Arabidopsis thaliana: one gene and its partner. The protein of the gene in region 2 interacts with the protein of the main gene of each other region in a pairwise test. Each region holds a gene or a part of one and is shown on either strand. Other genes may lie near its edges.

Region 1 (7,342 bases), on a different chromosome or scaffold from region 2:
ATTGGCGAGGTTGGTCCTGTTTTAACAAGACAAATATCCAAAGAGCTTGACCTCACTCTGTGTATGATCTCCTCGAATGTACCATTTTGTCTTCCTTCCATATCTATTCTTGCCCACTTATCAGGACCAAGATAGAGATCAAAGTTTGGATAAATATTAAGACCATCATAATTTCCATATATGAAGGTAACCAATATAAGATAATTTGTGCCACGAGTGACATTCAGACTAACAATTACGCTTTCCTTCCGGAAAGTATCTTAGAGTCAAATATGGTTTTCGGAATATTTTGTTGAGCTCTTTATCGACTCTACCACTTTCTCCAGTCTGGATAAATGTTGAATCTGATGTGAATGTTAATCCAGTAGATGGATCACTATAAGGAGATTCCTCAATAGGAAATCCGCAATCCAAACTGATGAAACCTGTTCAAGCATAAAAAGGATCGACGAAGTTTAAAAAAAAACTATATATAGAAGATATATCAATTTAAAGGATGGATGATCCTCGGTGAATATCTACTAAAGAGTTTATAAATTATTACCTTCTTGTTTTTGGGCGCCAACTATAACGGCAAAGGTTCCAATTATGGCCAACAAAAGATGGCTCATCATCTTCTTGGAAAGCTAATATGGAAATCAAGAACATAAAAAAGACTTGCTTAGTGAAAACAAGGAGCTACGTAAATGAGAAATACCTCACATACACAGATTGGAAGGAATAATACATTAAAGAAAGTCAACTTAAGCCAGACATGAAGATTGAATAATTGCGAGAATTGCTTTATTTTTGGTTTATTGTGTGAATTTCTTTGACATGTTCCAACCCCAACTTGTGTTTAAAATAATAGGTTATGATCATAAGACTCCGACATGTATAGGAATTTCCTTGTATTAAGGTTTGTATATGTCTTCTTTAAACCCTTGACCAAACATAATAAATCTTCGATTGATCGTTAGACTTGGAGCACAAGGATATAACAAGGTTTGATTTAAGTAATTAGTTTGAACCCGGTCGTTACAAAAAAGGATTTACTACATATGAAAAACAATTACATATTACAACCTATTTGAAACATTACGTCTGATTCACATAAAGAAACATTACGTCTGATCCACAATAATTATAGACGTAACTTATGTAACTTGTTGTAGAATAATTATGTAAAAGAGAGAATTCGTATATTACAACATGGACAGGAAAAAATAAAGATAAAGATCATTTTGTTTGATTCAATGATTTGCTTCTTACAAACTCAGGTATTTATACAAATAATGTGCATCAAGGTAGCCAGTACTAAATTTTAAAAATATATTTACAACCACACTTTAACTATTACAAACTTGTTAAAAAAGCAACAATAAAAAATAAGAATTATCACATAATTAATATTTTTATATAGTTAACACATACAGTTTCCGATTGTCAAAGCTCCATTAAAAAAGCAAATTGTGAACCAAGTGGATAATGGTCCAGTAGCGTTTGGAAATGATCTTTCCAAAATAAGGTTTGATCTCTTTTCCCACTAAATCCCACCTAACAAGGGATATTAACAAAGGTTGATGTAGAATTTCTTGGTTGACAATGTATAGTAATACTGAGAATATGAGCTATAACTATAAGAGGCCAGCTATCTCTTAACGTCTATGAGTAAGCCATAGATAGATAATGCATATACAGGCAAACAAAACGAATATTAGGGTTTGTCAAGAAAAGACTAATCTTAGTTTATTTTTGAAGACCAAGAATTTTACATTATTGCAGAGGTATTGCGATTATAATTGAGTGAAAGTCAACAAAATGTATTAAATCCACCAAGTTGTTGTTAAGTACAAGTCGTTAGCAGAATTATCATATAGTTTATAAAGCTTTGACATTAGATCAACTTGGCAGGTTTTACATTGTTTAAACAAAGATTACATCAGGTGCTTTGATTTATGATTAAATTGCTCTCTTTTTTCCACAAAGTGGAATATAAATGTATATATCTTTGTTAGACCATTCTTCAGTCGTGCTTGGATATGAATCTATAATTGGAGAGTATTCCACGCCAACATGTGTTTTGGATTTTAATTGATCTTCATCTAAAGTATTTCTATCATTTGTACTAGAAAATCAATATATTGTATCATATATTTCAGATTGTCTTTGGTTTCAAAAATTTGTATGTTAACTTAACTTGAAAATGGAAGGTCGTCGTCAACGTTTACTGGTGTTCATCTTTGGGGCTTTGGCCATTACACATCTTGTTCAAGCTCAGCCGCCTGATCAACGAGGTTTCTCTATATACCTTTTTTTAATAATTGCTTCATGTTCAGTTTTTGACACATAAAGACTTAAGGATTAGCCAAGTAGTTGAGTGTTCTTGCTCGACTGGTCGAGATCACTAACCGATTTCTACTTTGTTGTACGCATAGCCACCATGAAAATAATATTAACGATTACAGATATAAGAGATTTGGTTAAAGAAAATAAAGGATTCTCTGTTTTCCAAAACTTTTGATTGTCTTCCTTATAAGCTTCATGGTCTAACAAAAGGAAAACATTATTTTTCACTAATAATACATTTTGTATCTTGCCAGGATTCATCAGTTTGGATTGCGGTTTACCCGTTAATGAGTCTCCTTATACCGACCCACGAACCGGATTAACATTCTCATCTGATGCTGATTTTATTTTAAGTGGTTTACGTGGTGAAGCTGGGGATGATAACACATATATCTACAGGCAGTACAAGGATTTGAGATATTTTCCCGATGGAATACGAAACTGCTATAATCTGAAAGTAGAGCAAGGCATCAACTATTTGATAAGAGCAGGGTTCGGATATGGAAATTATGATGGTCTTAATGTATATCCCAAATTTGATTTACATGTTGGGCCTAACATGTGGATTGCGGTTGATTTGGAATTCGGAAAAGATCGTGAGATCATTTACATGACAACGTCGAACTTATTGCAGATTTGTCTTGTCAAAACAGGATCAACTATACCAATGATATCAACCTTGGAACTACGGCCACTAAGAAATGATTCATATTTGACTCAATTCGGTCCCTTAGACCTCATCTACCGGCGGGCCTATAGTAGCAATTCTACCGGTTTTATACGGTATGTAAACTCAACTTTAGCAACTCTTTTATAAAAAAAAACAATCTAACATGATTCATTTACTTTTGCATGGCTACTCCAAAAATGGTTTTAGGTATCCTGATGATATTTTTGATCGCAAATGGGACCGATATAATGAATTTGAAACGGATGTGAACACCACCCTCAACGTGAGATCCTCGAGTCCCTTTCAAGTACCAGAAGCTGTAAGTAGGATGGGAATCACGCCCGAAAATGCCAGCTTGCCATTGAGATTTTACGTGTCTCTAGATGACGACAGTGACAAGGTTAACGTGTACTTTCACTTTGCCGAAATCCAAGCTTTGAGGGGCAATGAGACTAGAGAATTCGACATTGAATTGGAAGAAGATATTATTCAGTCAGCATATAGTCCTACGATGTTACAATCAGATACCAAATATAACCTATCACCTCACAAATGTAGCTCCGGGTTGTGCTACTTGAAACTCGTTAGAACTCCAAGGTCAACTCTTCCACCGCTGATTAGTGCTATTGAGGCTTTCAAGGTTGTGGACTTTCCATACGCTGAAACAAATCCAAATGACGGTACGCCACTATTCCATTCTCTATTCTGTAAGAAAGGGCTTATTTGCAAAAAAAAAAAAAACAATCACAAAATTGGGGGAAAAATAATGGTCACAAAACGGAGAAAATATTCATGTGTTTATCGTGTTTAATTTGAAATATTGTACTACCATGTTAAAAATTGTGTTATGAAATATGACATGATATTTGTTAAAAATAGCGCGATAAATGAACCAACTTAATCTTTTTTTTTTTTGCAAATAATAGGGTGGAATTTTTGTTTATTTAGTACATACCCTCATTAAGAAACTTTAATCTTTTATATGCTAATTCTTGGCTTCCTCCTCGAACCATTATGTTAGTCGCTGCTATGAAGGATATCGAAGCATTTTATGGATTGAAGATGATTAGTTGGCAAGGAGATCCTTGTGTCCCTGAACTATTAAAGTGGGAAGATCTAAAATGCAGCTACACAAATAAGTCTACTCCTCCAAGAATTATTTCTTTGTACGATCATTATATATCTCATAAGCATATTGAAACCTAAATCTCTTAAGTCTTAAGTATCTTATATCTGAAAAAATGTTCTTATATTGTGAACAGAGATTTGTCATCACGAGGGTTAAAAGGGGTCATTGCGCCTGCCTTCCAAAATTTGACCGAGCTTCGAAAACTGTAAGAGCTATTAGTATTTTACTTAAACGCGATCCATGAGAAAACATTTATATTGTGACCAACATATTTCTAATTTTTCACATCTTATAACAAATTGGACGAAAAAAAATATCTCATCTCATACTATTTTTTTATTTATCCTATTAACGGAAAATAGATTGACTTTTTAACGTTTTATAAATACTAGAGACTTGTCAAATAATAGTTTTACTGGAGGAGTGCCCGAGTTTCTAGCCAGCATGAAGTCATTATCGATCATGTAAGTTGATATAAACAAACATAATGGCCGGCCACTTATATTTCACTAGGTATACTTGTTGTCACTTTACATTGACATTGTAATTTTGTGTTTACCTTGACAGAAATTTAAATTGGAATGACCTTACGGGTCCTCTTCCTAAATTGCTTCTTGATAGAGAAAAGAATGGGCTTAAGCTAACGTAAGATTTTCACCCTTCTTTTTTTTTTATCAACTTTCCTCAACCTATAGTCTTATTCAACAACACTTATTTTCTTAAGGATCCAAGGAAACCCAAAGTTGTGTAACGATGCGTCATGCAAAAATAATAACAATCAAACGTACATTGTACCAGTTGTTGCGTCAGTAGCTTCTGTGCTCATCATTATAGCCGTACTGATTCTCATTCTTGTTTTCAAAAAGAGAAGGCCAACGCAAGGTACATAATTATACAATGAGATATATATTCTTATCGTAACATGCATGCATGATGATGACATACCAAAAGATGCCTAATCTCATGGAACTTTTTGGTTGTGACAGTTGATTCATTACCTACAGTGCAACATGGGTTACCAAATAGACCGTCTATATTTACTCAAACGAAAAGGTTCACTTATTCAGAGGTAGAAGCATTAACAGATAATTTTGAAAGAGTTCTTGGAGAAGGAGGGTTTGGGGTAGTGTATCATGGTATTTTAAATGGTACGCAACCAATAGCTGTTAAACTACTCTCTCAATCATCAGTACAAGGCTATAAGGAATTCAAAGCTGAGGTATGTTAATACATAATACATGGAATATATTGTAACATGTGATGGCTCTTAAATTTGTTTGGACATGGGTGGTCAGGTTGAACTTCTTTTGAGAGTGCACCACGTCAATTTGGTTAGTTTGGTTGGATATTGTGATGAAGAAAGCAACTTGGCCCTGCTTTATGAGTATGCACCGAACGGAGACTTAAAACAACATCTATCAGGTATAAATTTGAATTTCCCACATTTTAAAATAGTGATTACTTAGCCATATTTTAATGTTCATGCTTTTATAACATTACTAAAAGTTTCTTAATTATAGGAGAACGGGGTGGCTCTCCATTGAAGTGGTCAAGTAGACTAAAAATTGTCGTCGAAACTGCGCAAGGTTCGTTCTTAGCTCAAATGCATTAATCACTTTATATGGATCATCTAACATGAACAATTTAATTATATAAATATAGGATTAGAATACTTGCATACGGGTTGCAAACCTCCAATGGTACATCGTGATGTAAAAACAACAAATATACTTTTAGACGAACACTTCCAAGCAAAACTCGCCGATTTTGGCCTTTCAAGATCATTTCCAGTTGGAGGTGAAACTCATGTTTCAACAGCTGTTGCTGGAACTCCTGGATATTTGGATCCCGAGTAAGTTTTACATCACCAAACTAGTTTGATTCAAATTGTTTTTCCTCATTCATTTGAAAAAAAAAATACTTCATGTTTTGTTTGTAGATATTATCGAACAAATAGGTTGAACGAAAAGAGTGATGTATATAGCTTTGGGATTGTATTATTGGAGATCATCACAAGTCGACCTGTGATTCAGCAAACCCGAGAGAAGCCGCACATAGCAGCATGGGTGGGATACATGCTTACTAAGGGAGATATTGAGAACGTTGTGGATCCAAGACTCAATAGAGATTATGAGCCTACTTCTGTTTGGAAGGCTCTTGAGATAGCAATGTCTTGCGTGAATCCTTCTTCGGAGAAAAGACCAACCATGTCTCAAGTTACTAATGAACTAAAGCAATGTCTAACATTAGAAAACTCAAAGCGAGGAGTGAGAGAAGACATGGGATCAAGAAGTTCTGTTGAAATGAGCACAAGCTTTACAACCGAAATTAACCCAAAAGCACGATAACTTGTGCCAAAAAAAATCCCATGGTTATTAAGGATTTTGGATTTCCCTGACTTACTTTACAAAAATATAATTTTTGGTGGTCATTTATTTGTACGACTTCATTGTATTTACTTGTGATTGTGGTCGTATGTGATATTAGTGTGGATGTTTTGTTTGGTTTGGTTTGGTTTGGTTTTATGTTGGTTGTGGCCTTGTGTGTGTTTTGGCGGTGATCCATCATAAATGATTCTTTTGCAAATCTCTGATGATTTTTTTCATCGGATTATGGTATTTTTATTGTTTATATATGCTCACTGATCCAAAATATGTTGTCATTGTTTATGTTACATGCTTCCCTAACTCCTTTTGTAATTGATCAAAAACTTTTGTTTGATAATTATCAAGTTTTGGACTAGTTCTTTTGGTCCATGGACTACAAATCTGCTTCCATCTAATGTTTCTCTGGACCAGTCTCATAATTATACATTTGTTGTTCACATAGTACATCTCCATAATATCATATATTTGACTTTCGGTATGAAATCTTTGTATATATATAGGTTGGACCAAGAAGTTAGGATTCATAATCATAAAAAGTAAGAAAGACGACTAGTTCACGACTCACATCAAATTCCAAAGTATAATTTTCTTCGTAAAATGAAAGTTATATTAGATGAAAATCTTGCAGGTCCATTGGATATCAATTCACGAGATATGTAAACATACCTATATTAATATCACATTATTTTGATTGTATTTGTATAAGTTTTCGCCTACTCACATGCCATGATTTTGCATAAGCTGTTTTTTTTTTTTTGCATAAGCTTATCAGGCTAGTTACGGTCACATTAGTTACTAGAACATTCAACATATATAATTTTCCATAGC
Region 2 (4,819 bases):
GTTTGGACTATGCATTGATCAAAAGCTTTTAATCGAAGGATATGGAAGTTATCGATTAGAAAGATGAGGTTTTACTATCTTCCTTATTGTTTCTCTGAATGGTTTCTCGGCGCATAAATATATATAATGGATCACCAAGAATTTTCATGTTATTTTGCTCATTAGAAATCACCAAGAATTTTCATGTATAGCATTTCCGAACTTAGAATTTTCTAATATGAAACAATTTAGAACTAAAAGGCCTTTTGGGTTGTGTCCAAAAAGAAAAACCTCACACGTTGACAATGTAAAATTCCATGATTTATTATAAACTCTTTCATGCATGCAATTGGTTAGTTTTTGCAAGTTGGGCTACAATGACGTTTTTGTTATCGGTTTCTCAATCACTCCTTTTCTGTCTCCATGTATCGTCGTCACTTTCCTCTATTTTACTTGAAAATAATACCATTAATTCAAAACATCTTTTAATTTGGTCGGTTCAAAACAAAATAAAAAACCATAGCCATTATTTGATAGTAACTGCAGTTCAATTGCATTTTTATTTGTGATAATAGATGGAGCAAAATTAGTTTGTCAACAATTTTTTCTTTCGTAATACTAAAATTTATTTTCTTTGGTAGAAGCTTGTCAGTGTGTAACATGAAGAGAGGATTTTGGAACCGGATACAATACATTGATAAGAGAGGAATCAATGATTTGATTAAACAAAGCCAAGACGAACCGGACTAAACCGGAGATAGAAAAAATACTTTATAAACCAGAAATCAATAGAAACACACCAAGGGAAGAAGAAGGGAAAGCAAGCAAGCACCAGAAGATTCTAAGTATACTACTAACAAGCTTTAAACTGAACACAAACCCCAAACCGAAGAGAATAAAAACAGAGTATTCTACATAGTCTTGCATAGTTACGTTTCATCAGCCAAAACTTGAAAAGAAGAGAAGCCAGTGAAAACAAAAGTTTGAATCTCTGAACAAGGAGCAACCGAAATAAACAGTTTACCTTTAGTTTAAGAAGAGCAACATGCTCGTTTCGCGCCTCCAGATGTGTCATCGACGTTAATCGTAGTTCCTTGCCCAGGGATTGCAGAATTAGCTGCTGCTGCTTCTTGTGCAGCCAGTGCCTTTTTGCTTATGATATGGTAGATCTCACCTAAGATGGTCTGAAACGCTTTCTCGACGTTTGTTGCTTCAAGAGCAGATGTCTCCAGGAAAGAGAGACCTTCCTTCTCAGCCAAACTTTGACCATCTTCCTCAGCAACGGATCTCAAGTGGTTCAGATCGGATTTGTTCCCAGCCATCATGATCACAATGTTGGAATCTGCATGGTCTCTCAGTTCGCGCAGCCACCTTAAAACATTGTCAAAGGTCTGTCTCTTAGTAATGTCGTAGACAAGAAGTGCACCCACTGCGCCTCTGTAATACGCGCTTGTGATCGCCCTGTACCTCTCCTGACCTGCAGTGTCCCAGATCTGGGCCTTAATGGTCTTTCCTTCAACCTGTGTATGCATGAGAGATTCACCGTAACAACCAGTTAGATCTTAGGTATTGAAGCATTCCCAGGTTTATGAATAAGAATGCTAATTCAACAATCAAAAGTAAAGAACATATATCTTCTCAGTTGTTAAAACCAGGTTAGTAACATTATTAACAATCAACATTTTAAATGCATCTTTCCGCATTCAACTACATAAGTGTATCATAGAATTCCTCTTGTCAAAAAATTTATCGGTTGACTTTACGAAAGTATAAAGGTGGACAAGGTCAAGCATGACAAATGATCAGGAAATAGAATGAATTATTGAGACAAGCTGTGAGAATCTTCTTATTTTTTTTAATTGGCCTTCACGACCATCCATTTATAGTCTTAAAATGAGAAAAGCATCTGTCATAACTCATAGCCAGCACAACTAAGATTTTTTCTCTTGAACAAAAGATTCAGTAGCTGAGAAAAAATCCGCCGTCTACTCTCTCAAAACACTGTATTCTTCAATCTTAAGAAACCAACGCAACCAAAAACCTTAAGACCTATCACTTAATTGCTATCCAAATCAAAGAAACTAACGAAGAAGCAACTTTAAACGAAACAAAACAGACTAAAAGCTCTAGAGCCATCACTTGAAATTAACCATCGAATACCTGAATTCTACACTACACTAATGAGGTCATGAAGCTACAAGCAAAACCAAATTACATAATTGAAATATACACTACACTAATGTGGTCATGAAGCTACAAGCAAAACCAAAATACATAACTGAAGACGGTAAATCTATGTATAGCAGTGAAAGTAAAAACCTTCACGGATTATAGCTAAAGATAAATCAAAACAGAGACAAGCTAATAAGAAGAAAAAACCTATCCCAAAATCCCATCTTTAAGCCTCTTAACATTATATACCAAACCTAAATTACTATCTCTTCGTATTACTCTGATTCTAACAGCAAATATTCTGAATTTCACTCCTAAAGTACTTAAAGAGAGAAACAGAGAAAAATTCGAATCTCACCTGAGTAGTTCTGGTGGCGAATTCAACACCAATAGTGGATTTAGATTCCAAGCAAAACTCATTCCTGGTGAATCTCGACAAGATATTCGATTTCCCAACACCAGAATCACCAATCAACACAATCTTAAACAAATAATCATATTCCTGATCTACTCTATGCGTCATTTTCTCCTTCTCTCTTCGATCTCGCAATAAAACCTACAAATTCGAAAGAAAAAAAAGACAGAAACTTTATTACTTTTCTCCAAAATCAAACCCAGATCCAACGAAATTAAGACGAACCCACAAGTAATTCAGAAGACGAAAAACGATTCGTGTACCTTAATGGCGGATGAATCGAGAAAAATATCGAATTTTTTGAGATCTATAAAGAAAGAAACTTTGAGTAAGAAGCTTTAAATGTTTGTTCTCACTCACAATCAATGGAGGAAAATGGAATTTTTCTTGTTTAATTTGATGGGCTTCGTCTTCTTCTTCGTGAGAAAGAGGAGAGGAGCAATAAAGTGAATATACGGTGTATCTATACGTATCTCTGTGTCAGGGAATAGAAACGACGTCGCGTTTGAGAAAAAGACAAAGACTTCAGTTATCGTGCTGATGTGGCAACTAATGATTCGTTAGCAGGCTGGCAAAAAGTAAGAGCATGTTCCAAGGGGTATTATTGGAAATGTAGTTTTGAGCTTTATAATTGCGTTAAAGAGCAATGATTGTATTTGTGAGTGTGGTAATGATAATAAGCAACGTCAATTTGAAAATGTCGAATTAACAACTTTAATAGAAGAAGAAAATAATGAAATGAGGATGTGATGAATTGACCACTACATTCCCAACTTCCCATAATATTTGTAAGAATATAGTTCTGATCCATATAATATAATTAAACAATGTGGTGGTTCTGGTGGCGATGGCCGATGGGCAAATGAAGATGGTAGTGGATCATGTGGCGGCTTTAGAAGGCAACATGCTACAAGTCTAGTGGAAAATACGTCGGAGATTGCGATGGTAATAGGCTAATAGCTATAGAGGACGAGACTAGTCTTTTGGTGCGACACATATAGAATGTTACATTCTAATCTGATGAAGATGAGGACCATTAAGTCATTAACGCTAAATTATTAATCCCTGAAACGTCATACTTTTTTTCAACCTAACGTAATAACTTCATTTTGTTATAAATTTGATTTTGTGCCCTCTAATAAACCAAGTTTTTTTTTTGTTTTTTTTTATCGCAAAAACATCAAATAATTAAATTTGTTCGAAAAAGTTAGTTTCGTGGGCCAACTACTCCGAAACGAGAGGGTTTATATGGGAAAAAAGTACACCTCGTACTCTTGCACTCTTTGCGAGGCAGACAACACGGACATTCATAGTGCGTGGAATATGAGATAAAGAAAACCGACCAAAACTAGCTTTAAATCTAGCAAAATCTTTTCCACCGGCCAATCTTTACTTTCATCAAGGATCTTAAGTAAGCTTAAGCAATCGGTTTCAAAATGTATAGATTGGATACTTTGTTGTAAAGTGCACTCCATTGTCCAAAGAAGAGCTCCGAGTTCTGCGTAGAGGGCATTGCGATAACAATTCTGGCTACTTTGACCAAACAGCTTGGTCGTTGAGCTAGTCAACATGAACCCCAAACTAACATTCTGGTTAATACCAGTCCACGAAGCGTCAATTTGGCACATAGCTTCTCCTCTTTGAACGTGCGCATACTCACAAGCTTCAACTACTTCAGGTTCTTCCTCCGCATCAATGTCATGTTCTAGTTCTTGGGCAACTCTCCAACTTTTCGACTCAGAAATTACATGCGCTAGAATATATGGTGTTATGTACTCCCGTAACGTATTTTCAAAAAGTATATATTTGACCTATTTAAACATTTATTACTTTAGGTTATGAATAATCCTGACGCAATTCTTGCTGATTAGTCTTGACGCAATTGTACGTTGCTATTGATTTTAAACGAATACAGCACAAAAGAAGGCAATCGCGTGGACGAAAGAGGAGCCGATACATACAATTGCATACATCTATTTGTATACTATATTTGCTTTCTATTGGATAATTCACCCTAACTATTAAGAGTACATTTAGTCACAATATCTAAATTAAATCTATAAATGTGAATATGCACATAGAGTTTTCACAAGTGGTCATATTTTAAGGATAATATTTGATACAGTTCTTAATTTCTTTGGTACATTTTTTGTTACCTCTCTAGAAAGGTTAATTAATTAGATACATCGCCTGCAAAAGTACTTTTAAGAAAAAATATTCGCGTGGAGAATATTTCGTTCGTTCATGTAAGGT

The links. Proteins that work in one complex are often made in the same cells at the same time.
Region 1: the proteins of RABA2c (region 2) and AT2G28960 interact in a protein complementation assay, tested with the Arabidopsis thaliana proteins (one large-scale study listed by BioGRID).

What each region holds. Positions count from the first base shown.
Region 1 is NC_003071.7:12,437,191-12,444,532, reverse strand, and holds AT2G28960 (Leucine-rich repeat protein kinase family protein), read left to right. Parts: upstream 1-1,940; 5' UTR 1,941-2,185; coding exon 2,186-2,276; intron 2,277-2,582; coding exon 2,583-3,111; intron 3,112-3,205; coding exon 3,206-3,678; intron 3,679-4,019; coding exon 4,020-4,164; intron 4,165-4,260; coding exon 4,261-4,332; intron 4,333-4,519; coding exon 4,520-4,591; intron 4,592-4,694; coding exon 4,695-4,772; intron 4,773-4,851; coding exon 4,852-5,009; intron 5,010-5,113; coding exon 5,114-5,346; intron 5,347-5,422; coding exon 5,423-5,549; intron 5,550-5,647; coding exon 5,648-5,713; intron 5,714-5,789; coding exon 5,790-5,979; intron 5,980-6,066; coding exon 6,067-6,475; 3' UTR 6,476-6,815; downstream 6,816-7,342. Other genes in the region: AT2G28970 (Leucine-rich repeat protein kinase family protein), read right to left, coding at 234-425, 545-614.
Region 2 is NC_003074.8:17,245,689-17,250,507, forward strand, and holds RABA2c (RAB GTPase homolog A2C), read right to left. Parts: upstream 3,136-4,819; 5' UTR 2,830-3,135; intron 2,708-2,829; 5' UTR 2,675-2,707; coding exon 2,510-2,674; intron 1,500-2,509; coding exon 1,011-1,499; 3' UTR 540-1,010; downstream 1-539. UniProt on the Arabidopsis thaliana protein: Intracellular vesicle trafficking and protein transport.